Linked DNA regions of Astyanax mexicanus. The protein of the gene in region 2 interacts with the protein of the main gene of each other region in a pairwise test. Links are inferred from orthologs where the notes say so. Each region holds a gene or a part of one and is shown on either strand. Other genes may lie near its edges.

Region 1 (7,391 bases), on a different chromosome or scaffold from region 2:
TGCAGGAATACTGCTGTACTTTACTAGCAATAAGAGTGTTTGTGACCCCAAGCCACAAGAGGGCCCCGTTGATCAACTTTTACACCATCTGCATTTATTTATTTTTTAACATAACACATTTTTGCCTCTAAAACTCATTATAACATATACATATGTTCAGTATGTGATGTGCCTTTAGTAAAGAATCTTTAGACATTTTTTAAAATTGATTTAATGTTCTTCTTTTATGTCTTTTTAAACAGATCCATATCTTTTCAGAACTGCAGTGGTGAGTCATCTTTTCACATTGGAGAGATAGTAAGAACTCTTCTCACTTTTTCAGATCAGAAGTGAGAGTGAAGCTTAAGTGTCTACAATCTCTCAAACTAGACTGTAAGTGCTGTATATCTAAGAGGGTCATTTTGGCAATCTACCAGGTATGGTTATGGTTATCCTTTAAAATATATCCTGGAAATGAATGTACTGAGAGTTAAGTAAATTAAGTATGGTTAAGTATGGTATAGGGTAGGTCCTTTTGTGCAGTACACTTCTTTACAAAAAATTAACTACAAAAGAGGGTAAATATATATTACATAACTATTACAATACATTTAAAAATGATTACAAAAGTATTTTATCTTCTTTCAGATCCATTGAATTATATCTTTTTCTGTTTTTTTTAATATAATTGTATTTTATGAATTCTACATGTTGGCCTTATCATTGGGATATTTTAAATTTAGGCAACAGATTTTATAATCTAATTAATTTCATCAAAACAGAGGGTATGTCCCAATTGTGTATTTAAAATAAGTAAAACGAATTCACTTTTAAGTATAAACCATTACATAGTAGTGATTAAAAAAAGTATAGATAAAAGTGTTAAGAGTTAAGAATACAAAAATATCAGACATATTCAGATACATACTCCATTGATTCAGTATTTGAGTGTGGTTTCGATGGAGGAGAAGCTTCTCTGATCTGGACAATTATTAGAAAAAAATAACATGACTGTAAAACTGTCTGCTATATATGCTGGCAAAGCAACACTTAATCACTTCTGTGTACTAACCAACACTATTAAGATGTATGGTATATATTATACAGCTTATAGTATTAGTGGGTACTTCTGATTTTCTCTTGTAAAAAAATAATAATAATAAAAAAACCTCATAATTGTGGGATAAAATTATGTAACAGTTGGCATGGTGTAGAAAACCTGCTAAAAGAGACAGACTGTTTTAAATATTTTGTGTGTTGAACATTGGCATGCGGATCATTAGCAATAGAGGTTTTAGCATTTATCATTAAATTTGACCAAGTTTTCCAATTTTATCACGAAAAAAGTTTCAAAATCATTGTGGTTCTCCACTAATGTGTAACAAAGGTGTAATGTGTTTCTTTTGTTTCTACTCTGTGTCTGACACAGTGCCAACTACACTATGTTTCTTTGGTAAAGTCTACAGAATAACACTCATGAGAGCTGTGTATGTGAGTCATATTTGTGTAAGCTCCTGTAATTGTGCTCTTCTGCCTCAGTCCACATGCTCCTTTCATTTCCAGTGACGGTTCTGCTGTTCTCAGCATATCCAAAAATACACGAAAGCATGTCCTTCTTATGAGGTGGCTCATAGTGTGAAATCCCATTCCCAGCTGTACAGGGAACAAGCTCAGGAACAAAACAATCCTCTCAATTTTCTCATACAGCTTCAATACACTGCTTGGTCTGAAACTTGAGCTAGCTGATGTCTTGCTCAATCAAAAGGCAAGATATGGACAGCTTACTGCAAGATATAATTGTATAGCTGTGTTGTCTTTGGCTGTTAACATTTTCACCCAGTGAAACAGAAAGCTAGGTTGCTAAACTTCAATTTAAACATGAGGCACAGATTCTTGCCCCAGAAGGAAAAGGGAAAAACACATTTGCTGTGTTTACAACACTGGTATGCTAGTCAGTCAGCATCAGACCATCATAAACGGGTTTGCACAAACATTGAATTATTTTGCTATAAGATTTCTATTATTGTCATTTTTTGTTTTGTTCTGATGAATACCCAAAATTGTGTACAGTATGTCTACTAAATAAAATATGTCTATAGCAAATGTAATTGTTTAGTTCTTTTTTTTATTAAAACATGACAATCATGCAAAATTGTTTAACTCACTGCTTTCTATTTAACATTGTGTCCACCAAAAAAAAAAAACGAAAAAAAAAAAAAAATACAATCAGTAAAATTGTTCTCCTGTGATCTAGCTAGAATTTCTGAATTATATATTTAAGTTAAATTACATATTTATCTGCTATTTTTCACTCAGGGGTCAAGAGAGCAAGAGCTACTATTTAATGCTGAATCGAAATGTCAATTTACTAACATTGTCTACAAAGCTTACAACTTTACAAACTGTCTACTTTCAATAATAAGCAATGTTTTTTTGTTTGTTTATGTAGCGTTTTATACGGATTTACAGTCTGACATATTTATTACTGTACGCTAATAAAATAGCTGTCATTACTGCAGCCTTTTCACAACATGTTTATAGTTTCTCCTATGAACAGATCAGTGTAAAAAGTGACCTTCTATCAGTAATGCACCATTTTCTCGTGTTTACTGTGTTAAGTAGACATTGAAACCCTTCGATTAAGCAATGCTTTACTCCACAGTGTCAAAAGTGCACAGCGGCTTCAATTCCCAGTTTCCTCTGCGCACATGCTGGGAAGACAGGATAGCTGTGTGTAAGCGCTGACCTGCGACCAGTGTTGTGGGTGCAGTACGGCACGGTGATATGCTGTGTGACCAAACTAGCTGATCCAGGTACAGCTCCAAAAAGGCTACACGCTTAACCACACCCACAAACGCTGCACACGATGCGTTACTTCCCCACCCGTATTGGGGAAAGCCCCGCCCCGGTGCTCTTCGATTGGCCGACTACTTGCGAATGTTTACCAATAGCCAATCGCAGAGCGGGAGCCAAGAAGCTAGCGGAGAACAAAACAAGAGATGAGCCTGAAACTGCAGGAAAGTAAAAGTGTTACTAGATGGAAATCATAAATGACTCAATTACAAGTAAGATTAGTTCACTCAGGAAAAACAAATGGAAAAAACTGGTTTGAAAGCAACTTTTAGACTTTGTTACTATAAGTATATGAAATGTTTACCAGTCTGTCACTGTATTATCTGTGTCTTCATTTTTTATCATATTGGTCTAACAAAAAAATGATAAAACTCAAATGTGGGAAATGTTATGTGAACAGAACAAAATAAAACGTAATCCAGAAATGTAAGTAGTACCCCATTTGATTTAAAGTTGCTGATCTTAGTGTTAAAAATGGGATTAAATAGGCCAATTTTTAAAACTTAAATTAGTACTTTAGGAGATGTAATTTTAATGCATTTATAAATAAGCTACTACAATATGTAATGTTCTTATGCACAAATTAATAAATTATCATATAAGAGCATACCAAAAGTGCCGTTTGTAAATTTTGGACCATATTGTAAAGTAATGCCATTTAAAAAGATCCAAATAAAAAGTAAATGTTAACTAATGAAATGGGTGGTAATGACCCATTCACAAATTTGCATATTTGTAGGTTATGGTCGAGTGTTGGTACCCTTGAAAATTAACCAGAAAATGTTCACATACATTGATTTACATGAGTTCACAAGCATCACATGTTTGAAACAGATTTATTTTGCCACATTTTTAAAAGGTGCCAAGAATTTTGTCCAATTTTGGAATTCTATACAAAATTAGGCCCCTTTTTTCTTTTTTTCTCAGTTTTTTGTGTTGTTTCAATATACACAAAGGAAAAAAACATGTACAACTAAACATGTGTAATTGCAATAATTTTCTGTGAAAAATACATGGCGATACACTTTCTGGAAAGGGATTTCAGGGATGAAAAGTTTATGTCATTTTAAAGCATTAACTAGTTTAGCTGATATATGTAAGTAGGTACTACAGTAGTAGCTGCTGAAATAAGTAGCGTTAATACATATACATAAAGATACCCTATGTAGATATGCCATATTGTTAATGTGGAGCACAGTATTGTACATTGTTATTTTATAATTTGTGTGTTTGGTGTTAAAATCCAACATAATTTGAAATATATTTAATTAATAAATCAGTAGATGTAATTTTGAAGCATATTATCAGTTTAGCTGCTATATGTAAGTAGACATTAAAGTAGCAGGTTGTGAAATAAGCAGCTTTTCGTACATATAAATAAAGATATCCTTGTCATATTGTTACTGTGGAGCACAAGTATCTCACAGTGCAGCTTTAACCAGTTACTGTGGTCTGTTGGCCAATCGGCGCGCAGGGGGGGCGTGGCCTGTCTCAGTACGGGCGGAAAGCAGAGGCCGGCGGCTCGAGCACAAACAGCCCGACTTCCTGAGAGGGTTTCCCTTTAAGGGGGCTGCGCCTCACTGCTAGGAATTCACGTCATTTCGCCACCAAACACGACCGAATCAATGAGCGCAGCGCGAGTCTTCCAGGAAGGTGTTAACCATCACCTCGCCAAAATGTAGCGCCGCTGCAGGAGAGAAGAGCACAGCAGCAGAAGTTGGAGGAAAGCTTTGTTGGTGTTTTCCGGGACGGGCGGGAGCGATGGAGCCGCAGGCCGAGTGATGAGCAGCAGCAGCAGCGCGCCGGCGGCTCGACAAACACTGAGGCCGGACTGTCTCTGCTTCTCCGCGGCGGCGGTTCCTCTGTTTCACAGAGAATAAAGAAAAGAAGGAGGAGGAGGAGAAAAGGAAAGTGGAAACGGGAGAACTTCCTGAATTTGAGACATGTCCAGTTCCCCCTCGCAGGTCAATGTTAAGGTATTTATGTGTTTATAACTATGTTAATGTTGAGTATAGTGGCGTTGAGAGAGACTGTGCTGTTCTTACTGTTACTGTTGTTCTTGTTGTCACGCTGTCCTCATCTGTTGCGGAGAGTCCTGTGTTTCTGTTGCTGAGAGTCCTGTGTTTCTGTTGCTGAGAGTCCTGTGTTTCTGTTGCTGAGAGCCCTGTGTTTCTGTTGCGGAGAGTCCTGTGTTTCTGTTGCTGAGAGCCCTGTGTTTCCAGTGCGGAGAGTCCTGTGTTTCTGTTGCTGAGAGTCCTGTGTTTCTGTTGCTGAGAGTCCTGTGTTTCTGTTGCGGAGAGTCCTGTGTTTCTGTTGCTGAGAGCCCTGTGTTTCCAGTGCGGAGAGTCCTGTGTTTCTGTTGCTGAGAGTCCTGTGTTTCTGTTGCTGAGAGTCCTGTGTTTCTGTTGCTGAGAGTCCTGTGTTTCTGTTGCGGAGAGTCCTGTGTTTCAGGTGCTGAGAGCCCTGTGTTTCAGGTGCTGAGAGCCCTGTGTTTCAGGTGCTGAGAGCCCTGTGTTTCAGGTGCTGAGAGTCCTGTGTTTCAGGTGCTGAGAGCCCTGTGTTTCAGGTGCTGAGAGCCCTGTGTTTCAGGTGCTGAGAGCCCTGTGTTTCAGGTGCTGAGAGCCCTGTGTTTCAGGTGCTGAGAGCCCTGTGTTTCAGGTGCTGAGAGCCCTGTGTTTCAGGTGCTGAGAGCCCTGTGTTTCAGGTGCTGAGAGCCCTGTGTTTCAGGTGCTGAGAGCCCTGTGTTTCAGGTGCTGAGAGTCCTGTGTTTCAGGTGCTGAGAGTCCTGTGTTTCAGGTGCTGAGAGTCCTGTGTTTCAGGTGCTGAGAGTCCTGTGTTTCAGGTGCTGAGAGCCTTGTGTTTCAGGTGCTGAGAGCTGTAGTGTAATGTGGTGGTAAACCCAGGCTCTCCTGGCACACTGCGAGGCCTGTTTACTCTACTACTAAAGAAACACCTGATGAAAGCTGCGCGGCTCAAGCTCCCATTCATTTGTGTACAGTGGAGGTGTGCGTCCTGTGCTGCAGCACACTTCCTACGAGCTGCAGTGCCCTGAAAATCAAGGTCCAGCTCAGCTCTGTTGCAGTTAGCCCACATGTGAGCTTGCTGGTTTCCTGTTGCGGAACTGAGCTCAACAAATGTTACCCATATTACATTTGGGCCCCTATTTCATGGCTTTATTTTTAAGCCAGTGGCTCCCAAAGTCAGTTCTACGAATCCCATCATGCCTCCACTGTAAACACTCATGCAGTATCCACACAAGTTATTTGCAAGCTGGGTGAAGCACAATATACCTTTAACTGTTACCTGTTTGTACATTTAAAGTTCCAGGACTGGGGATTATAAACTCCTGGTTTGTATTGATGAGATATTGTGGGGTTTAGTACCATTTATTCTCAGTTAATTTTGGCACATTGATTATTTATTTATCTCTCTCAGTTATTACAATTAAACAGAGCAGTTGGTTTCCTGTGAGGTTTTACCCTCTATTGGTAAATCTCTTTACAGTGTTTCTCAATAAAAATCAGTCCAGGCTTAAATACTCCATATTGACTCCAGGCTGAAGTGGCTGAAGTGGAGTGGCTGAAGTGAAACTGTAAAGTACAGTGCTGTACATACGCCGACCATTACATCTAAATATTTTACTGTAACTTACTGGCATAAAAAATCAGTAACTTATTATATTGTACTGTAATACACATGGTCATTCGCATAACCTACAGTAATATGGAGGTTTATTTTTTCAGCTAAATTGTGTAAACTAGACATTCAGTTTAATCAGAAAGACAGGGTCAGGGTCAGTTAACACATCTGCAGGTTACATTTACTTACTGAAATGAAATACCCCACATTTCAGGGCCCTTCACTTTGAGAAAGTGTAGAGTACTGACACTGACTTGTGGTGATACTCTACAGATGCTGTAACTAAAGCAACAAATGCAAAAATAGTTATAAAGGTAAATAATACATGGCAACTGTCTGAAAAAACTGTAGCAAATATTTTACCACACTGTAGCACCCATCTAGCATCATTTCAACCACCTGGGATACCATTGCAACATCATGGTAACCAAGTATATCATATCTTATCATACTAGCCACCTACACACATCACATGAACCACTTAATAACATCGTAACAACCACCCGAGTCAGTGATTCTACCTGCGTAAAAGTCACCACCAATCTGCTAACTGCAGTGTGTTCTCCTCCTCTCACAAAAACCAAGCAGCTGTATGCAAGCGCAATGCAAAGTGTCAGATGGAGGGGTGTAAAGCACATTGCCACTGAGCAATAGAGCAGTGGAAACGTGTTCTGTAGAGTGACAAATCACTCCTCTCTCTGGCAGCGTAATGGATGAGTCTGGCTTTGGTGAATGCCAGGAAAACATTATGTGCCTGACTAAACTAGGAGCCCCTTATTAGTACTATATACCATTCTATAGTCTATATAGAATGTAGAGTTGTCTATGGTTCCACACACAATTTCCAGTGGCTCCAACAAGGAGAAGGTGAATAAACACATGACTGATTTCTCAGATTTGCCTGAACATTCAACAGAAGA
Region 2 (6,893 bases):
AGATATCTGCTATTATTCTTAGCATTGCTATGGATGCCAATTGATTGTGCATTGCAAATGACTTTGTGAATCTCAACACTTGTCCACAGATAGAGGTGGGACAGTACTGTGTTTAAGACTGATTTAATTAGACATGCAGACTAAAGTGATAACTTGTATATTAATAGTGCTTTTACTTGTTACATGTGTTTACATGTGTGGTGGATCAGTCCTGAATTCGGTAATGGCGAGGCTCTAACCAGGAGCATCCCAATTAAAATGTATTACTTGGAACTAAGAAATTCCAACATCTGACTTCAAATGGAACACAGCAATATTATTTGAAAGAAGAAAAGCAAAATGGAATGGTGTGCTCCATCACACAAGCCACTCACTCCCTTCAGATATTAGAACACCTTGATCTATTATAGCGCAAACCCAAACATACACTACATGTAACAAAGGTTCACAGGGTTCTTACCTGTCTCTGACTGTATGATTCCTTCAGTTTCTTTAAATGCGTCGTCATCTTCACTTTGAAGTGAATTTCACTGTTGTCCTGGAAGGAAACATTAGGAAAAACTTGGAGTAAGTTATAAGGGGGACATAGTTTATTCAGGCCGTGAACACCACAAGTAAGGGTGGGTGATACGGTAAAAATATAAAATGATAACATATTAAAAGCATTATTACAACACACAATACAACAACGAAAGACACAATACAGTGTTGTTTACTCAATATATGTTTAGAAAGCATATTCAGCAATACTTTCTCTTAATAAAGCGTTTAAATTTTAGATTCTTGTGTAGTTCATCATTCCTGTCATGCAAAAACCTTAACCGTCCATCTCCATGTTTGTTGTTTTTTCACTGACAGTGTAAACACAGAAGTTGGAATTTACATTATACTAATATGTCATAATGAATTGACCAATAGTGATGTTCCAAAAATACCAAATAATAAAACAAAGTAATAAAAAAAACTGTATTATGTACACAGAGGAATGAAATTAGGGTCCTCTATGACCATATGCACAACATAACGTGCAAACTGGTCAAACATAAAAATAGAACACTACAATAAATATTAATGAATACTGCGTACATTAAAACAATAGAAAAAAACAGATAAATGTACAGTTTGGTTAATCAATTTAATTTGATAAATCAAATTACTGTTTTAAAGCGATTTTTAAAATGAGATACGCAGACTGCAAATTTTTACATAGCAATCTCTATGTGCCAAAAGAAATCTCTCAATAAATAGTAATTAGGCTTAAGTTTCTGTCAAGAACCCTATAAAGAACCTCTTAATTTGGTTAATAAATGCATAAATAAAATGATAGATATAACTGGTGTTTTAATTATTTTCAAACATCTACAAATTAAAAATACTAAGGACTTACAGCTCTGGGAAAAAAAGAGACCACTTAAAAATGATGAGTTTCTTTAATTTTACCAAATTAAAAACCTCTGGAATATAATCAAGAGGAAGACGGATGATCACAACCAATCAAACCAAGCTGAACTGCTTGAATTTTTGCACCAGGAGTGGCATAATGTTATCCAAAAACAGTGTGTAAGACTGGTGGAAGAGAACATGCTAAGATGCGTGAAAACTGATTACAAAGCAGGGTTATTCCACCAATAATTGATTTCTGAACTTTATAAATATGAACTTTTCTTTGTATTATTTGATTTTTGAAAGCTCTGCATCTTTTTGGTATTTCAGCCATTTCTCACTTTCTGAAATGTTATCCATAGTTTATAAAATAAAACAATGTTCATTTTATTCAAACATATACCTACAAATACAAAATCAGAGAAACTGCTTCAGAAACTTTAGTTTTTTTTTCCAGAAGCCTATGCAAGAACTAAAAATATCGAGAATATCGAGATTTTTTTACCCACCCTCTAGTTAGAGTGAAGAAAACTACAGTTTATCACGATCTGATATAATAAAATATTAAAGTATTGCCCATGCCTAAAAACAATAAGCCAGCTTCAACAATCAAATCTGAAGTTTCCCCTCTTACCTGACCAATCACTTTCAGTTTAATATATTCTCCGTCCTTCTTCTCTCCATCTCCTGAGGGCTTAGTCTCCTGAATACAGAAAGATATGACATTACACTATGTTACATATGTAAAGGAATACGCTATTAACTGAGGAAACACTGGTACATTACCAGTAAACACTGGTAAAGATGTGAATAAGACTCCCACGCTAGTAAAAAACTAGCTAGGTAGGCTAACTAACTCAGCTAACTAGCTGTTTGCTAACGGATTCCACTGTATTGGTTTGTGTGAAACATTTCAACACCTGATAACGTTAGCTAGCTAAGCTAATTTCAGCAGTGTGCACTGGTTTACATTAATGCTGTAACGCAGCAGGATAATTAAACCACTATTATAACAAAAGAATAACTCAAAACTGACAGTTTACCGGACAGACCGGCAGATAGTCTGTAAACTTAGATAAGCTAGCTGTTAGCTCAGCTAGCGTTAGCTATGCTAGCTAATACTCCTGGGCCCACCAGCCATCTAACGTAGCTCTCAGGCTTTATACTGAAGCTAGCACCTAACGAGCCTCACTAACCCGAGTCTAAACACAACATTTAACTCGCTACAGCTTCAGTAAAGTGAACTCTCCAAAATACAAATCCCAAACAAGGGAAACACAAGGCTCACCACCAGAAATCTGCCCCAGATATCAGTAAAACATGAGCTAATTAGCGAGCTAAAAGGTTGCTGTAGCTTGTTATCGTTAGTAAACGGGCCTCGTATTTTCATATTTAAGCGCTGTTTCTGTCAGCCTGCTGCTGCTCGCTCAGCTCCACACAGTCTGTGAGACATTCCTCCAGAACCCACCGTGTCCGACATGCTGCTCCTCAGCGCCTAACCCTCTCCCACAGTGATTTAGTGAGAAATGTAGGTGAGTGTGGCTGTAATGTAGGTTATGTTTCTCTCTCGTAGACTCTCCCTCTCACACACACACAGCAGCGCTGACCTCACTGGAACAAGGGGCGGGAACGATGACAAAACCCCGGCCAGTGTGAGTAAAGGAGGCGTGTTCAGGTTTTAAAATGCACCTACAATTAAAGAGCATCTTATTTTAAAATTTCATAGTTTACATATACGGAAACGTAATGCTGCAGAGTATAATTAAAATATGAGCAAATAAAATATACAATAATAGTAATAATAATAATAATAATAATAATAATAATAATCTGCCACATGTCATTATTAAAAACCGTTATCACAAACTGTGCCTTATATAAAATTGGCTTTTATTAAAAAAAAAAATTGGTTGAATTTCAAACGTGCTGAATTGTTCATGGTGATCTTGTTCTGTTTCAAAACAATATTTTGATTTTCTGAATACATATTACATATGCAGACATCCCAAGTTGCAATAGTTTCAGGGAGGTTCCCCGCACCTTGACTTCCTGCCTCCCCCCAAAAAAACATAACTTGCACACCAATATATACATTTATACATTTAGTCCCTCGTGTGCAATGCGAAAATCACTATTACATACTGTACAGCGGGCAATACTTCCATTGCCCGGGAGACTTGTGGGCATCAGGGAGCAGTTATTAGCATGCAGTAGACTCCTGCAACTTTTGGAAGACTTGGGAAGTCTGCAAATGTGTGATAAAACAGGCGTTGTTTTAGATAAATAATATCTCATTATTAAGAGATGTATGTCATAATTTGAAGATAATAGATTCATAGTTGTTTTTTGTCCAGACTATCTAAAATCCATTTGAATACAATCTGGATATAGCAAGAAAAGGATTTGGACTGGCAGTCTAAACATTTGAGTCCACCACTGTCTCTAGCACAGTTTAGTGCTCTCACACACTTCCTTTCTCCAGGATTTGTTTGAACTTGCTGAGTCCACACAAATAAAACACTTTATTCAGAACAGGATTTTGTAGTAAGAATTGCTCATAAATATGGCCTAACAATTTGACATTGAGGAAAAAATGGTGCACCATTATAAATATTTGAGAAATATGTTAAGATAACTTTTTTTGTTTGTTTACATTAACTCATCAAATTAAGTTTTGAGATTTCAATTATAGTCCATAAATCAGTTTGTGTGTGCAACACTTCCCAATCCTCTCTTACTGTCAGTGTGTAGTTGTTTTTCTGTTGTTCAGACTACCTTTACTCATCTATTCTGTTATATTTTATACAATGGTTGATTGCCTGTTCTCAGTGTTGATGGCTGTAAGAGCATGTAACCATTTTCTATACAGATGAGTTTTATGTATAAAAACTCCCTGTTCAATGTTTTATATGGTTTCAATATATGGTATTTATATTTATATGGTTTTTCTTAATCTAGTGGAAAGGAAGGGGTGGAGTCCAACACAGTTTGATGATAGTTCTGGTGTAACAGAGCTACTGAATCTAGCAATTAACATATCAGTTGAATCAGGTGTGCTTAATCAGGCAAACCATAAAACCCAGGACCAGGATTGTCCACCCCTGATTTAACTTAATTAACAAAGTTAGAGCCAATAACTGGAAGATGTGAATACAAATCATGTAAATACTTTATCTGTATTTCCTGCTAAAATCCAGGTTGTTATCCAGAGAAACATACCCTATGCTATCCTACCCAGTGTAGGGTATGTTCTTTCATGTTGACCAGCTGGTCTTTCTCTGGATTTTTTATCAGGGTTGTAAACTTGCTAGGTTGCTTGGTTGAAACAACATGTATTGTGTAGTAAATCAACTTGCAGAGAAGAGTCACAGCATCTAGTAATAATAAGTTTATTTTAACTTAAAGCTTTAAATGAGCACTAAACTCCCTGATTTTTGCTGACACCACCCTTACTCAAATTTAAAAAAAGGTAAAATTTGGAAGGGGTCGTTTGGGTGTGTCACTCGGTGATGTATGGGTTTAGAAGTGGGACCGAAGGGAGAGCTGATTGGCTAAGCTGCAGCAGCAGTGTGCCTCTGATAGCGGTTGGACGACAGTAGGGGACACATCATCCTCGCCTATAGAACAGTTGGACATGAGAGGGTGCTGCAGAGGCGGAAATTACCACAATAAAAGTGTTTTTTAAAGTTTAGGAAATGTTAAGAAAAAATTTAAGCAAGACTGGTTTGTTTTATTACTTAAAAAAAAACACATTTCAATGATTAATGGAAAAAATATGGTTTAGGGTTGAGTGGCTCTTTACAGGTGAACTACAGTGTGAAATGGACTTGGGGTGTAGTTAAACATGATAACAAGTACAAACTGTTGTGCAATAGCCCATCTTCATTTACCCCAAGCATTCTGATTTACAGGCCTTTTTGCCAATGCTCCCAACATGCTTCTAATGCTAGTGATAGGGGCATAGCATTGCCCAAGCAAAGAAATCTCACCATTAACAAGTAGCTTCATTGGTATAAGTTTGAGGACCCTGACATTTAAATTGAGACACTGAGAAAGTGCACAGGTTTTATTTAAAAATATTTTTATACACACAGGATAGCGAAAGAGATTGCAAAATAAATTCAGTGCAAATGCATGAATATTATAGAGATATTTTAGCAACAGCTGGACTTCATGCATTTTAACAGAATTAATGTAATATATTTTATTTTATTTTGCACTACTTTGTCTTATTGCAGTGTGATTTTTGATACAAACAAGTTTAATAAATATACATTTTGCAAGAATGATGTTCTTTATTGCATTAATTTTATCCAAAACAAATGCAAATATATAGCAGTAAAACTGTGATTCTTTTTGATATACAAGGTTGTAGCAAAAACGGAGGGGGGGTGGAGAAGCTTATAGCCAGAGTTGAATTCAACAAAAATAAAATCAATAACTTACAGTGTGGCTGAAAAATAAACTGTTGATGGGGACAAACGTTCTCTGATAAATCACAGTATTGATATACACATTATTTGTAACTTAATATGTAAAATGTATTGTATGTAAACTTCACCAGAAGCATGATGGGAAAAAATCTCAGAAATAATCTAGTTGAAGTCTTGCAAATAGTGATCCCCAGACTTAGCAAAATCTTAGCCTGTGTGTAAACAGTCTGTGACTTGTCTTTAGATGTTAGAGAGTGTCAGACTTTAGTCTGTTTAAAGTCTTTTTTGAATCTTTCTTGAATCTTTCTGTCCTGTATTGAGTGTTTGAACAGCATAACAGTGTGAAGAGTCGCCATAGTCAGGGTATCGTCCACCTCTGCTTAAAGACCGCCTATCAGACCTACTGCGCATGCGCGGGAGTTGCCCGCGTGCACCGCGTGGTGAGCAGAAGTTCTTGCGGTTAGCCGTGCTGTGGAGCTGCTCTCAGCCGGGAGCGCGTTAATTCCTCTTATATTAACCAAACAGACAGTTAGATAAAGATGTTGGTGTTGTTTGAGACTGCGGCAGGCTATGCCATCTTTAAGGTAAGTGTACTTTACTTAAATAATGTGCAATAAGCACAGTGAGCTTTCTCCTCGCGAACTGTCGTTTTCAGCCTGTTAGCAGCGTAGCTTTTCTCGCTAGTTGAAGTTCCTCTGTGGATAGATGACTTGGCGGGCCAAGAACTTCAGTTTAGGTTGTTTTTAAAGTGTAAGTCTGGTTAAATTTGCGGCAATAAGTGTGCATACGCATACAGTAGTTCTAACGCATTGTCAATAGCCGGGTTGTTAGCTATAGCAGCGTTAGCTATGCTAAATATCTCAGCGCAGTGGCTTGTAGGGACGGGCCTGCTTTGCACCCACGTTGTGAAATTTCTGCTAAGCTAGCCGAGTTAGCCAGCTGTATTAACGCTATAGTTATCTATTTGTCGAAAGAGAATATGCTGTGTTTTTAACTACGTGTTTTATGCACGTATAAATGCAATTAAAGTAAGCATACTCACGGTAAATTTAAATAACGTTTCTTAAATACGGCTAA
Region 3 (7,072 bases), on a different chromosome or scaffold from region 2:
ACAAGCAAATAAAACTCTTTAATTTAAATGAAATTATAATTGAACTAAAATTAAACAGGCAAAATAATTAAACTTAAACCTAAGATTTACCTGAGTTGATGTGAACAAATACATTCCATCTTTTCATAAAGATATAAAAGTATCAACCTGACAGATCTGCCCTTACCACTTTTTACAATCGCGAGTAAATTATTGAGATTAAAATGTATTTAATCACGTTCACACATTTATTCAGAGTAATGTACTTTAAATAAATGAAATCTACCTCATGGTGGGTTTTCAGCCTTTTTGGTAGGTTTATCAGCCAGCCCCATTAAAATGCAGATTTACAGGAGAATAAAACCTCCGAAGAGCCGATGAGCCACAGTCCTTCACAACAAAATACAGAAACAGAAAACGGTGTTAAAGCTCGATCTAAAAAGCTCAACACAGACATTAATGTGGATGCAAAGCTGACACTCGCATGCACTCCTCAAACACACACGCACGCAGTTGCTTTACTGCTCTTTAGAAGATATTAGAAGACATTTTCAAATACTTACAGTCAAATGAGCCGCATATTTTTTAAACCGAGAAGATGGTCATGCAGTTTTCGTTTTTTGTTTTGTGCATCACTGACTATTAAAGCATATTAAATCATTTGTGTCCTGAGTGGGAGGTAAGCAAATGAAACCAACAACAAACCTACAAAAGGAAGAAATAAAATCAAAACCCAAAACAATTTCAAATATCCAAATTTCAAAAATTTATTCATTTCAAACTGCATATTGAAAAAAAACTCTCTTACTGAAATTGTAACTGTTATGGTGCTATTAGTTCAAATATATATATATATACATGGAGTGTTGGCATCTGCGTACAGGCCACATTTTTAAAAATACAACTACGGAAAAAAAGAGTTAAATTTTTTTTAAAATAAAAACTTAAAATATCACAGTAAATATACAGAAAATTTACAAGCCATGAGAAAATAAAGAACACAAACTTCATATCTCTAACAGATGGAGGGTTGGGGACTAAACAAAACAAAACAAAATAATATATAAATTTACGTGCGAGTGTTTTTGTATTTCATCTTTTTTTCTTTTAGAACTAAATTAAAAAATGTTGTACTGTCTTTCACCCTCAAGGAGAAACATTTCCTGCTTTATATTTTTTTCCAGCGGTTTGCAGAGACTGGAGCATTAAGCATTGTGAGTTCTGCATGATTTAGATTTTATAAAAAAAAATCACTTTTTGTAGTTTACAAACATTACAACTGATTGTTATATGTTTTTGATAAATACTGTACAAAACGTTGATTGCAATAATAAAACATCATTTGATTGATTCTCCCCACCCTCCTCCCTTTTGTATGTTTCAAAAAAGAAAAAAGAAAACACACTTAAAAAATAAAATAATTTTTGTACGGTTCCTACCGTTTCTTCTAGCGCATGACTTGCTTTCTTTCAAACGAAAGCAAAGAAAAAATGTTTGTGTTCTTTCCTCGAGTCCTGTACAAGTTTTCCCTCACCAAAAAGAAAAGTTCTGTACAAAAATAATAATAATAATTATAATAATAATAATAATAATAATAACAGTAGTAGTCCAGTCCCAGTGTTTTCGCGTTTGTGTAAAACGGGTCCAAGTGTCCATCTACATGTGCGTTAAGGGCAGCGTGCCGTTGATGGTCGTCCCGTGCACAGGTGCGCCCTGGTAGTGCTGGGACAGGTGCAGTCTGCTTTGGCCCGTTTGATCCTGCACGTCCGCACCGGGCAGGTACATGCTGATCATGTCCCTCAGATCACCCGTCTGGCACGGCTGGGCAGCGGCGGAGCGCGAGTGCGAGCTAGATGTGACTACGGCCGGTGGGCTCGCGCTGGACTCGGACTTCACCCCGGAGCTCATGGAGCCGTGCAGTGTCATGGGGGGTCCGCTCTGCTGCTGGGAGTACGCCATGCTGCTGTACGTGGGCGAGCCGTTCATGTACGTCTGCGCGGTGGTCATGGAGCCGTACTGCAGCGCGCTCATGTCGTACCGGTGCACTGGTGCCGTGGCCGAGGTCTGCATGGGCGCGTTGAGGCCGGCGTGCTGCGCGTACCCGAGCTGGTCCTGCATCATGCCGTAGCCGCCGTTGCTCCAGCCGTTCATGTGCGCGTAGCCGTCCATTCTCTGGTTCATGCCGGCCCCAACGCCGGAGCCAACTCCAACGCCGACCCCAACACCGACGCCCACCCCGCCGCCACCCGGTGCGAGGAGTCCACCAGGAAGCGCGTACTTGTCCTTCTTCATCAACGTCTTGGTTTTCCTCCGCGGTCTGTACTTGTAATCCGGGTGTTCCTTCATGTGCAGTGCGCGGAGCCTCTTGGCCTCGTCGATGAAGGGTCTCTTTTCGGACTCGGACAGCAGCTTCCACTCGGCCCCCAGCCTCTTGCTTATCTCCGAGTTGTGCATCTTGGGGTTCTCTTGGGCCATCTTCCTGCGCTGGCCCCTGGACCACACCATGAAGGCGTTCATGGGTCTCTTGACCCTCTCTGGGCTGCTTTTCTGATTGTTGCCCCCAGGGTTGTTGCTATTCCCCGTGCCCCCAGTGCTCGGCTGAGGGGCCGGGGGCTTCAGCTCGGTTTCCATCATGCTATACATCTAGAAATCGTTGTCAAAAACCTTCTCCACTCGACCAAGAACAAAAAGCACCAGCAGAAGAAGTAGTAGAACTTCTGGCAAGTGAAAAAATACAAAAATAAATAAAAATAAAAATAAAAAAAAAACTAAACAAAAATAAAAACAAACCAAGTCCAAGCGCTCTCTGCGGCAGCCCCCCTTCAGCCCGTGCTGGGGTAAGTTTTTCTGCAGTTCTCCACTTCGTCTATTTCCCCCTCACTCCTGTTTTGCCCACAAACTTCTCAAGTCTTCAAAAGAATCAACAAAATTGAGCTTTTTTTTGCCCCCTTTTCCACGCCGGAGCCTTGACAACTCCAGATACTTTTGGTACAAGTTAATAGACAACCGTTCACGTGGAAGGACTGTCAGCCAATATAAATGGTTTCTCACCTGACCAATCGCAGCGCGGGGTTTGGTGGGTTAATTAGCATAAAGGGGCGGGGCATTGGGAGGCTAGAGTGGGTTTCCCAGCTGAGTTTGAACAGAAATCTCTCTCTCACTCTCTCTCTCTCTCTCTCTCTCTCACTCTCACACACACACACACACACACGCTGCAGATATATGAAACAAGTTTAATTTGAACGTGATAATGTGCAGTGTTTAGCCCTAATGTTAGTAACTTAAGTGAAAGCTGTGGAAGTCAGAGAAATATATATATATATTTCCTTCGGGATAAAGAAAGTATAATATATATTATATGATATATGGGTTTTAATATATGTTATTTGAGTTTTCACCATCTAACTGATCTCCCTGCCTCGAGACACTGCTGCTGTTTATTATTAATTTCAAATTCTCCTCATTATTTCTAATGTCCAGTAATTTTTAAGTTAAAGTAAATCAGAACGCCAATATTGATTTGGTTGATACACCGTTTAAAACCTCAAAAAGTATCACTATGTACTGACCCACAGTGAAAGAAGATTTTACTATACAGTTTTATTCTCGTGCATAGTGCAACCAATGGACGAACAACTGCAGCTTTATATTTACTCTGATAGATTGTGCACACAACAGTTTGAGATAATTTCAGCACCTCCTGTGTTTGATTTAAACTTGTTGTAAGTTATAAGCCCTCTAGTCCAGTTCAGTGCCAGTCCCAGTTATAAATAAACTGGTGAGAGAATGAAACTCTCTGCAGAGGAAAGTGGAGCCGATCTGGCTTACAAACAAGGCTTATTGTAGAGACAAACACGTGCAATCAGATCACTTTTAATTCACAAAAAGCACGAGCCGACGAGGCCCTCACTGTGTTTCAACAGCGCCCTCTTCCGGCCGGTTTGACTAACGCCTCTAATAGTGCCCCAAGCTTCACTGCAGTCTAAAGAGTAGCAGTGTGGTGATCTGGACTAAAATGTTGAGTATAAACTAAATTACTCTGTCTGGAAGAAAGTGTGCTTTGTGGCCAATCAGCCAGGATTTAATTTTTCAGGTCTGAATTTTTTTCCCCCTCATTTCCATTATTAACTAACTTTTGGATTTTGCACAGAGATGCTGGGGTTTAAAAACATTTTGGGTAAAAGTTTTAAAATGTTAAAATTTGGATTAGAATTTTATTTCGAATTATATTGGTTTTATAATGTATAATATTAAATTTGGGCTAAAATAATTAAGTTTGGACTATAATGCTGTAATTTGGATTTAAATTTTAGTGGTTAGACTACAATTTGGGAGTTGGATAGTGGCGGTTGGGGCAAGATGCTGGGATTTAGACAAAAATATTTAAATAAAAATGTTGGAGTTTAAATTAAAATATCTTGCATTAAAATCTTGTAGACTAAACTGTTGGTGAATGTGGTAAAAGGTTTAAGTTTAGGGTAAAATGTTGTGGCCATTATTTTAGCTCAAGACTAACTCATAAGGAAGAAGTGAAATGTTTATAACGTTTATAAACCCAACTGTTTTTACAAGGTCAGAGTATATTGGTATAAATTGAGTATAATGGTGTATAAGTGGTAAGATGCGTATGTGTGTGGCTGAGGTGTAGTGGACACCCCTCTCTCCCTCTCTCTATTGGGGCCTTAATCTGCTTATGGAAATGCAGTGAACAGCAGGAAATCAGAAATCACCATCATCTGTATTTGTCTGTGTGTGTGTGTGTGAGAGAGAGAGAGAGAGTCCTCCTTAACTGCACTTTTCTTAATTGACACAATTACAATACAGCAAATGTTCACACACACACACACACTTCTATGAGACTGAGAGCAGACAAATATTTTCATAAAGAAAGAGCTCATCCAGTGCTTAATAATATCTCACACACAACCAGAAAGCACATAAAAGACTGCTGTACAAAACAAGCCTAACCACATCAATACAGAAGAAACTCTATAATTAAATATATACATTAATAAAATCAAAAATATTAAATATTAATATTAAACTTAAAAAATGTATTTTTAACACTATGAAACAGACTAAGCTAAAACACTCAAACCCTATTTCAGCTAAGCACACTGACATCCACAACTCTCCATTATCTCTCTAATTATTCCTCAATTTTATAACATAAGTCAAAAAATAAATATTAAAAGTAGATTTACATTTCTGCATAATTTTGGAGATAATTCTTTTTAGCGATGTATAACAAAAAATCATTATATTGTCTGTGTGTGTGTGTGAGTCCGTTCGCATTGGGCATGGTTTGTCCACTAGGGGGCGCAGATGAACAGCAGCTTGTGTAGAAACTGACTAGTTTTGGGGGGGGGAAATAATTAATATTTCTATTTATATTTTCTCATAAACGTAACACTTTTTAAACAAGATATGAGCACACACACAATTGGCCAAATTGACAACAACAAAAACTAAATCAATATATATATATATATATATATATATATATATATATATATATATATATATATATATATATATATATATATATATATATATATTTTATTTATAAAAGCCCATTCACGTGATATTAAGTTTAAAAACTTTTACTGTAAAAAAAAAAAGGCGCTCGTAAAAAACGCGTTGATGACGTTCGCATCGCAGGCAAATGCACATGCACGTAATTGCGTCAACAGTTGTTCTTAAATGAGAGCAGCGCATGTTTAATATTTAGGCATTAAAAACAATTATTTCAGAATGAATTCCCTTAAGTTTAACGTGTGTGTAAACTATATATATATATATATATATATATATATATATATATATATATATATATATATATATATATATATATATATATATATATATATATATTAGTGTAAAATATAGTGTAAACGCCCTTTAGGCATTTAACACATCTAATCAGCACTTTCCACCCTCAACCAAACACACACGTTTCTCACTGTGCTGATACACACTCACCTCACTGGCTGCTATTTCTCCTTACTGCCTGGCAAATGCCCATATCCACAGTGCATCTGTCCCAGAGGTGCCAAAACTTTTACCAAAAAAGGAAAAAAAAAATCCCTCAATTGCTGCATCCAAAGCTTCAGATCTCCAGTTTAGCCAGTCCACACACACTGCCTCATACGCACAATACACACCTCATATTCACAGTTCATAACCACCTCGTACACTTCATAGTCCATGTAAACCACATAAATCTCACTCCTTGCACGACGTGCACTCCTAGCTCCCTAGCACACTCCACACACTCCTCGCTCGCCTTCGCTCCTCTTTGCTCGCCGGACCTGGAACAAGAAAACGCCGTTTTATGGCTACACACAGGGCTGATTTGAAAGAGGAAGAATGCATCAAGAACAACAAAAGTCAAATTATACCACCACCCCCAGCACCGAGCATAATGAGGAGGAAAAAGCTTTGTATTTTTTTTATTTTTTTTTCCCTCTCGCCGGGTATTCAAAGATAATTTGAAGCCATTGTTTCTTCCACAGATGGTTCTTTTTTTAATACAATAACGCTGCTCTTTGTGTGCACTACCCACAATAAAAATCTAAAGCCTTCTCCTGAATAACCCATTTTGTTCGCTCTTGTAAAGGGCCAACAAAAGCGGCCGGGAGCTAATGGGCTCGCTTTATTCAAAGCCAAAGAATGGCTATTTGATAAAGAATTTTTTTTCTCCTCCCTTTGCTGAGAATGCATTGCCATGTCATACAAAGCTACCGTACAGTTAATTTCACCAAAAAAACAACAAATGCCACATTATTATCATTATTATAACTATTATAATTTTGCAGCTAAAATTCCAAGACTAATCTTCTGTTGCTGAGTCAATTATTTAATCCTCAGAAAAGTGTGAATAAGCAAACACAGTCCAATTAGTCTTTCTGCACTGTACAAGCTAACACAGCCCAAAGCATTTCACCTGTAAAACCATACTTTATCAGATAGATTATAGTCAGCAGTTCTTTATTGTCACACAAAAACCTTCTTTAATAAACAGTGAAAATTCAAATAAACCCAAATGAATTTGAAATGGGCAGTGAGTGTGTTTTCCTTAATATAATATATA
Region 4 (7,465 bases), on a different chromosome or scaffold from region 2:
AGACTAGGTTAAATTGTTGGCATATTGATAACGAACACAAAGGCCAACACAGGTGATGCCATAATACACCTGGGTATGGATTTGATCCAAATGGGACAATTACTTTTTTATATATAATAAACTCTTCTGTTTTATCTATCTATCCTGTTGACACATCCCAGATCATGAAAAGGCACAGACTGTCCACAACCATTGCTAACCCTCTGCTCCTCAACATCTGACTTCATCTGGTAGCATGGAAGGAGCAAACATGCGCAACAGAATGAAAACAAAGGAAAAAATAAAGACACTGACCACTGAAACCTCAGGTGAACATTAAGCATGTGCTGACGATGACTCTGGCAAGAACAATGCCGATGATGCTGTTCTCCTGTTACCACGCCTATGGAGAGAGTGCTTGTGATGGGATGTCCACAAAGGGAAGGGACGTTATAGAATAGCTCTCTTTAGATTTTTTTCTCTTTTATTTTATTGTGTAATTCATATCAGGCTGAATAAAAGAGATAAATATGGTTATTAGCACTGTTGGCACTATTATTTCATACTAACACATTATATAGTATTGTGCACAAAAAACAGCATAAAGCTGATACCATCTGGTCACACTGGGGACGAATTTAAGAAGTGTAAACAGAATCCGGTCAAAGTATATCCTAATACGAAATGTATGTTAATTCCAGCTGTAAACAGGGCCTGATTTTTTTATTTAATGTGGAGGTGAGGTAAAAGAAAATATTGAAAAATCTGAATCTTGTGCACTCTATATCCTGAAGAGATGTTTTACACTGATTCCTTATCTCTAAAAGTGTTGTAACACATTGTCTCACACACTTGAGGAACACTGGTTATATTGGACTGGTAGGTTAGGTTAACGGGCTAGCTGGTTAATCAGCTCTTGAGCAACATGTCACATTTGATTATGGTCAACCATTCCACCCAAGACACAGACAAGAAAGTGAGTGGCTTTTTATTAAATCATTTAGAGATTATTAATTGTTTTCTCAGTATACATAAAAATGGAGTCAGTAATTGTTTAGAGTAATTAAATACTTAATATTATTTAGACATTTCCTTTTTTTATAGATATAGCCTTTACATAAAACACATTTTATCATTTTTGTAGCTAATAGTAATTATTGTTGATAATCTAAATATCATAAAGAATGGTATCCAGCCTAATTGCATAACAGCAATTGGGCATGTGATCAACTAGCCTTGATTAAAAGAGTGTAAAGTAGCTTTTATTTACAAAGCTAATACATTAACATTTATTAACACTATTTTTTTTAATCAAAAATAATACAGTAGAACAGTTACATTGCTCTGCTGAAAATAGAATTTACCCAGAGCAGCGATTGCTTCTTACAGAATTCGTTCTGTTGTAAAGAAAAGGATCTGGCGATGTTTGACCAGAAGGCGGCGCTGTTACATTTTGTCATTCAGGTCATGCTGACTGACAACTGTGGTCTTTAAGAATCATCAAGCTGATACTCATGGTGGTCAGGTGATACCAGAGGTGTCTAAATACAAATACTTTGTTACCATACATTTGCTACGTAAAAGTGTTGGTTATCTATACTAAATTGCTATCTATACTTCACTAGATTATTATTATTAATTTTTTTTAGAAATCACACTGTCAGTCACAGTGCAGTGTTACTATTACTATTATTCCGTTTTCTGGCTGTTCTAATAGTGTGATTACCATGGCTATTTTGTACTTAGCCCTAAGATTGCAGGATGTAAAGGTTTATAATGATGATAAAAATAATACTGAAGTATGTTTCCTTTGGGAAACTATATGTTGTACATTACAACACCCTAAATCAGCCTTTGTGCCCTATTCACAGACATATTCAGTGACAGCATATTGCTAACCATATCATAACTCACAGTAACTGTTTTTCTACAGCATTCACAACTCTCCTGCCTTGTTTGGTCGAGTGCACTATAGACCCTGTGGCACGATCTAAGCTTTTTGTTTTTAATGGCATTTGTCCCTTACATTACATTTATTTTTTTATAATTAAAGTAGTTTTGAATCAAGCACTTTTACACTTTTCTTTGAGTAAAAAGCTTGAGTTGGTACTTCAACACTTCTAGAGAAGAATTTTAAACCCTAGTATCTATACATCTACCTGAGCAATGAATTTGAATCATTTTGACACCTTTGTGTGATACTCATGATGTTTGGCATGTCGGTCTAAAAATTTGGTCAACCAGCTTAGTGATACTGGTTGTGCTGGTCATGCTGATTCATCAGCTTGGTCAAGTTCACCAGCTTAACCATCAAGCTAAAACAAATATGACACTTGTGATGATAGTCAAGAACTAAGCAGAGGATGAACTAAGGGCTGGCCCAAGCCTTTATGGGCCCCCCCATTCCATAACCTCAGTACCAGATGCTTCATCATTTCAACCATTCCATGGAGAAACCAAAAAATCGTATTCATAACTTGCACATCCGTGCTTCATTACAATTTACTGGCTAAATCCTGTGTGAAATAAAACACAATCTCTTCTCCAGAAGGTTAATTCATTTTTTGAGACATAGCTTTGCCGATTTGCACTCACTTCACTTCTGACTTACATTAGTTATCAAACACTCAAGCACTGCATATTTGCATTTAACCTAGTATTGGTGTGCCAACAATGAAAATAATATAAAACTTGTGTTTAAGCGTGTAATACCATTTTATTTGTATTAATCAATATATATTTTTTTTAAATAAGCATAAAACATATCATGAAAATTAAGGAAATTTGTGTTTGTTATATTATTTCTTTGTTGGATCAATGCTTCTTGGCATTGATAAATCTTACACTATTGAAAAGCCTGTTCATTTCCCATTTAAGTGGAGCCACGTTTATAAGGAACATACTATTGTGTGATGAGCAGTATAGCTGAGTATGTGGGTTGAACACATGAATAATTTTCCAAGTCTTCTCTTCCACTGCCAAACAGCGTATTTTGCTGTTGCTATTGACTCTTGTTTTGACATTCTGATACCGCAAGGTGAGTACCTGTAAGCATGGGCCCTGTTGCGGCATTATTTGGAGTGAGCCCTATAATAACATCTCCAAATTTAGGGCAAATTAGTACACAGAATTATTTTATTGTCATTCAATTTTACACCAGTAGTGCACAAAGGAATGAAATTTCGTTGCAACGGTCCAGTAGTTAGGAGAAACAACCAGAAACAGTAATACTTTTTAGAGTGCAAGTAGAGCAATATATATATATATTAGTATATACAACTATACATATCCATCATATACACACTGTACAAATATGTAAACTAACTATATACCTGCAACACATACCCACATATTGCACATATAGAACCAAAAAACTAATATTGCACAAGTGTTATTATTTTCAGTGTTTAAACTGTCTTATGGCATACAAGAAAAAGCTGTTTTTGAACCTGGTTGTCCTACATCGAAGACTGCGGGACCTCCTTTTAGAGGTCAGCAGTGAGAACAGACCATGGTTGGGATGGGAGGGGTCTCTAATTATGTTTTGAGCTCTGGTCAGGCAACAGTTTATGGCAATGTCCTGTGGGCGAGGAAGTTAAGTCCCAATGATTATTTTAGCTGTCTTGACCACTCTTTGCAGAAACATCCAGTCTGCAGCACTACAGGGTCCTGCCCAGACATACAGAGATGCAGAGATATAATTTTGACAGTAAAAGGTGTTAAGAATCGGAGGTGGAAGGTCTTCTCTTCTCATCCGTCTCAGGAAATGCATGCATTGCTGCACTCTCTTGACCAGAGCTTCAATGTGAGTGGATCAGGTTAAAGTGTCTGTTATCTGTACCCCCTGAAACTTTACAATATAAAAGGGAAATTAACAGGCTTTTCAATTGTATAAGATTCATAGATTCAAAGAAAAAAGTATTGTATCAACACAGAAATGATCTATCAAACACAAATTTCATTAGATTTTGTGCCTTAGACTTCCTTACAACTTATACTTGACTTCCTATACTTATACACCTTGGGCCGGCTCTGGAACCTTTATTCAATTTACTTCTGTTATTGCACTCCAGTATCTTCCTGACTACTTTTACTTTATATAATTTGATATTTTAGTGATATTTTACTAGTTTGGAACATGCTAGCATCATGTGTTTACTCGGGAGGAGTCTGCAGAGAGTGATAGTATTGTGTCAACAAGGAAATAAATTACCAAACACACATTTTTTGTACATTAAGTTTATTTTTTTTATCGTGATATCTGGGTGCTCTTGAGGGGGGCCCTGTTGGTATAGGGGCCCTAGGCGGCCGGGTACTTGCGCATTGGGAATGCCGCTGTGGAACCTTAATTCAATTAACTGCTGAGCTGTATCAGCTGTATCAGCTAACTGCGCCGGGGACTGCGGGGTCCCCGCCCCCGATTTAAAGGGACCGATACGCGCATAAATACAGAGCCCGGCTGCGTCTGCGCAGAAGCGGAAAGACGCCGCCGTGACGTCGGAAGTCCAGCGGCCGTCGCGGAGTGTTGAGTGGGATGAACCAGCGCCAGGCAGCGAGGGGGAGGTAAGCTGATAACAAAACACATGTAGCGGTACAGTCATGGACTTTCCTGCAGCAGCGCAGCACCGTGCTGGAGGAAAGCAGTGAAGTGTTGTGTATGAGTGAGAGTGTGAGAGTGGTTTCGGTCTGTTGTCGTTGTCGGTTGTTGTTGTTGTTGTTTGTATTTTTTAAGCGTGCGCTCGCGCTCGCGTGCCTAAGATGGCTATCTGTGGAACGAGCGCTGCTCCTCCTTTCGATTCAAGTATTAGAGAACGGCAAAAGTTTCTGAACAGCACTTCCAGAGAAATGAGAACATTTTTATCATTATTCTACTGTTTATAGTTCAGTCTGTGTTGTGTCTAAAGACGTCACGCTTTCTCCCGGACAGGCTAAGCTAACAGAAAGCTGCCAGAGTGTAGGCAAAGTCGTCGACTTCAGCTTTCTAGCTAGGTAGCTAACGGTAGCTTAGCTAGATTAACCTAGCTAGATTACTAATAATATTACAAATGATCATTCAGTTCGGCTGTTTCGTATGAATTTACCCAGTTAAAAGTCAAACTGGTTTGTTTACAGGACATTGCTCTCTGTTTTCCTATTCAAATCTTCAGGTCCACCTTAAACACAGCAGGAGTTGCGTTCTGGCGCCATTTAAGGTGGAACTGCATAGTTATAACAACGAGCTTAATTTTTAACAAACGAATTCTAGGAGCAGTAACGTTACTTTTAAACAGTCCTTTAAACAACACCGTCCTCACTTTTATGGTCAGCTGACACCTTCCAAGACCTACAAATTATAAATTCTGTTCACAAAACCTGCATTTTGTCAATCCGTGTAATGTCAACAAATGGTTGTAAAAGTTGTTGTATTTGAGGACTGATTGGCTGGAAGTTGCATGTAACCTCCACTAAGAACTGCTTTCTAAAGCAATGTGTCTTGGGCATCAGATGTCCTGTGTCATAACCATTTGGTGTAATGATTTGCAATCTTTTCAGAAAGCTTTCAGAAAGGCAATCAGCATTATTTCAAAAGGCGTGTCATTTTAAGTTTCTCCAGAATGACAAGAAAAGAGGACCACATTTGCTTCAGTTTTAACCCATTCATGTTTTAAACGTGCACAGATAGTGGCATTTTAGGCACATGTGCCCCCAGTGGTAGCCTTGTTCAGAGGCCCAGTAGTGGCAGTTTGACTAACCTGAGTATTGCACTCCCCAGTCAGTATATTATTACATAATGCAGTATATTAGTGATGCATTTATTTGTGTTTTCTACCTTTTTCGTGGTATGGGATGCAGCATATTTGCAGGTTTTCTCTTATTTGCACTTATGTAATGTTCTGCACTCTGCCTACACTCAGCTGGTTGATGGCTGAAAACTAAAAAAAAATGCTTATTTTAGGGGTGCTGGAAAGTGTGTATCATTTGTGTCACTCTGTAAATTGCACTTAAATTACTCATTAAGTCATTTACAAGAGGAAAACTTTAGATATGTTATACTTTTTTCCATAAGTATTTAAATGTTAGTTATATGATGTGCTATTTTACTAGTTTGGAATATTCCATTCAGAAAGAGTCATCAGAGATCTTTTCTGAGAGAACTCAGAACTTTTTAAGATGACTTTTACTTCTCATAGAAATCTAGTCCCACCTCTGTTAAGTGAGGTCAAGAGTGAGCGATACACTGACCATCATGCTCAGGGCAAGGTGCTGTAAATGATGTTTGAGTTTGAGCAAGGCCTGATGTGTGTGCCAGATGGATTGGATATCCAATGCAACTTGCACTGGCTTGTGACATTCCTTGGTCAACAGTAGCGTGAGTACAGGTAATGCATCATAGAAGTCATTGCCACTGATGGTGAACAGTGAAGTGGTTGGTAGTGATTGTGACTGGCAGCGGATGGCTAGAATTTTCTGTACAATAAAAAAGCAATTCCACAATTTACATTTACATTCAGTGCAGGTTCCACCCATATCCTGCAGGTCAGTGCAGCGTTCTTTAATGAGACGTGGCAAAATTATGGGACACATACTAGCTTTTCCATGATGTTTTGAAATGAGCTTCCAACAAGCAATCCAATATAGCAGTCCTCATGCTGCTATTTATTTATTTTATTTGCTATTTAATATTTAGGCCTCATCCCCAGCAGTGTGCTGTCCATTGTCTAATGGCTAATAACCAAACTGGCCCTAACTCTTGAATCGTTTTAGATGCAGCGTTTGCTCAGTATAAATCTGCTGTAGTGTCTGTTATTTAGTTTAAAAAATAACAATACAATGACAGTTACCAAGTATCACATCATAAACCATTATATGGGTCATGGGTGTGAGGGGCAGTGCTATCTAAGGGTGTGCCTTATTGTATCTTATGCAATAGTATTTCAAACATGTTGAACACAATAAAAAAACATTGTGATTGTAGCGACATTATGGAAAGCAATCTATTTTGAATTTATTTTTCTATTTACTGTATGTTTGCAGTTTCTATGCATTTACTAGATGTATATAACTGTTATATGATGTTTATACTAGGGGTGTCACGATCTCGATATTTTATCGAAATCGAATCGAAATGAGGTCACGATCTCGAGTATCGAAGTCAAAAAGAGGATCGACGATCCCTCCCGCGCGCGCTACGCAAATAGTGCAGCGCGCTACGCAAATGGCGCGGCACCAACACAGCGCATCCTATTCATTTAAATAGAGATAGCCACTGCATGAGCGCAGTCGGCGGGAGTGTGATCACTGTTTTTATCTGTCCAACGGGGGAGGGGGGGCGGGGGTTGGGCGCGCAGGTTTTGTATCTGTATCTAACGGAGGGGTGGGTGCGCGCAGGTGAGAGCGTGTGAACTCGCTGAAATGCGTGTGTCAGTGTGACTTGAGAACACTGACTATAGATCACAGTGAGGTGGATTAAAAATCTTAAACTTATAATTGACTACACCTGTTGCTT

The links.
Region 1: the proteins of sumo1 (region 2) and etv6 interact in a two-hybrid assay, tested with the Homo sapiens proteins (2 studies listed by BioGRID). The link is inferred for Astyanax mexicanus from reciprocal best matches to the Homo sapiens genes SUMO1 and ETV6.
Region 3: the proteins of sumo1 (region 2) and sox2 interact in binary tests that used the Homo sapiens proteins (3 or more experiments, as listed by UniProt). The two-hybrid records come from large-scale screens. The link is inferred for Astyanax mexicanus from reciprocal best matches to the Homo sapiens genes SUMO1 and SOX2.
Region 4: the proteins of sumo1 (region 2) and setx interact in a two-hybrid assay, tested with the Homo sapiens proteins (2 studies listed by BioGRID and IntAct). The link is inferred for Astyanax mexicanus from reciprocal best matches to the Homo sapiens genes SUMO1 and SETX.

Annotation. Positions count from the first base shown.
Region 1 is NC_064409.1:31,538,497-31,545,887, forward strand, and holds the start of etv6 (transcription factor ETV6), read left to right. Parts: upstream 1-4,389; 5' UTR 4,390-4,775; coding exon 4,776-4,808; intron 4,809-7,391. UniProt on the Homo sapiens protein: Transcriptional repressor; binds to the DNA sequence 5'-CCGGAAGT-3'. Plays a role in hematopoiesis and malignant transformation.
Region 2 is NC_064412.1:37,933,849-37,940,741, reverse strand, and holds the start of sumo1 (small ubiquitin-related modifier 1), read right to left. Parts: upstream 3,011-6,893; 5' UTR 2,864-3,010; coding exon 2,852-2,863; intron 2,087-2,851; coding exon 2,018-2,086; intron 539-2,017; coding exon 461-538; intron 1-460. Other genes in the region: nop58 (nucleolar protein 58), read left to right, coding at 6,356-6,400. UniProt on the Homo sapiens protein: Ubiquitin-like protein that can be covalently attached to proteins as a monomer or a lysine-linked polymer.
Region 3 is NC_064423.1:26,444,735-26,451,806, forward strand, and holds the start of sox2 (transcription factor Sox-2), read right to left. Parts: upstream 3,015-7,072; 5' UTR 2,623-3,014; coding exon 1,636-2,622; 3' UTR 543-1,635; intron 370-542; 3' UTR 266-369; intron 1-265. UniProt on the Homo sapiens protein: Transcription factor that forms a trimeric complex with OCT4 on DNA and controls the expression of a number of genes involved in embryonic development such as YES1, FGF4, UTF1 and ZFP206. Binds to the proximal enhancer region of NANOG.
Region 4 is NC_064424.1:27,370,780-27,378,244, reverse strand, and holds the start of setx (probable helicase senataxin), read left to right. Parts: upstream 1-4,463; 5' UTR 4,464-4,542; intron 4,543-7,465. UniProt on the Homo sapiens protein: Probable RNA/DNA helicase involved in diverse aspects of RNA metabolism and genomic integrity.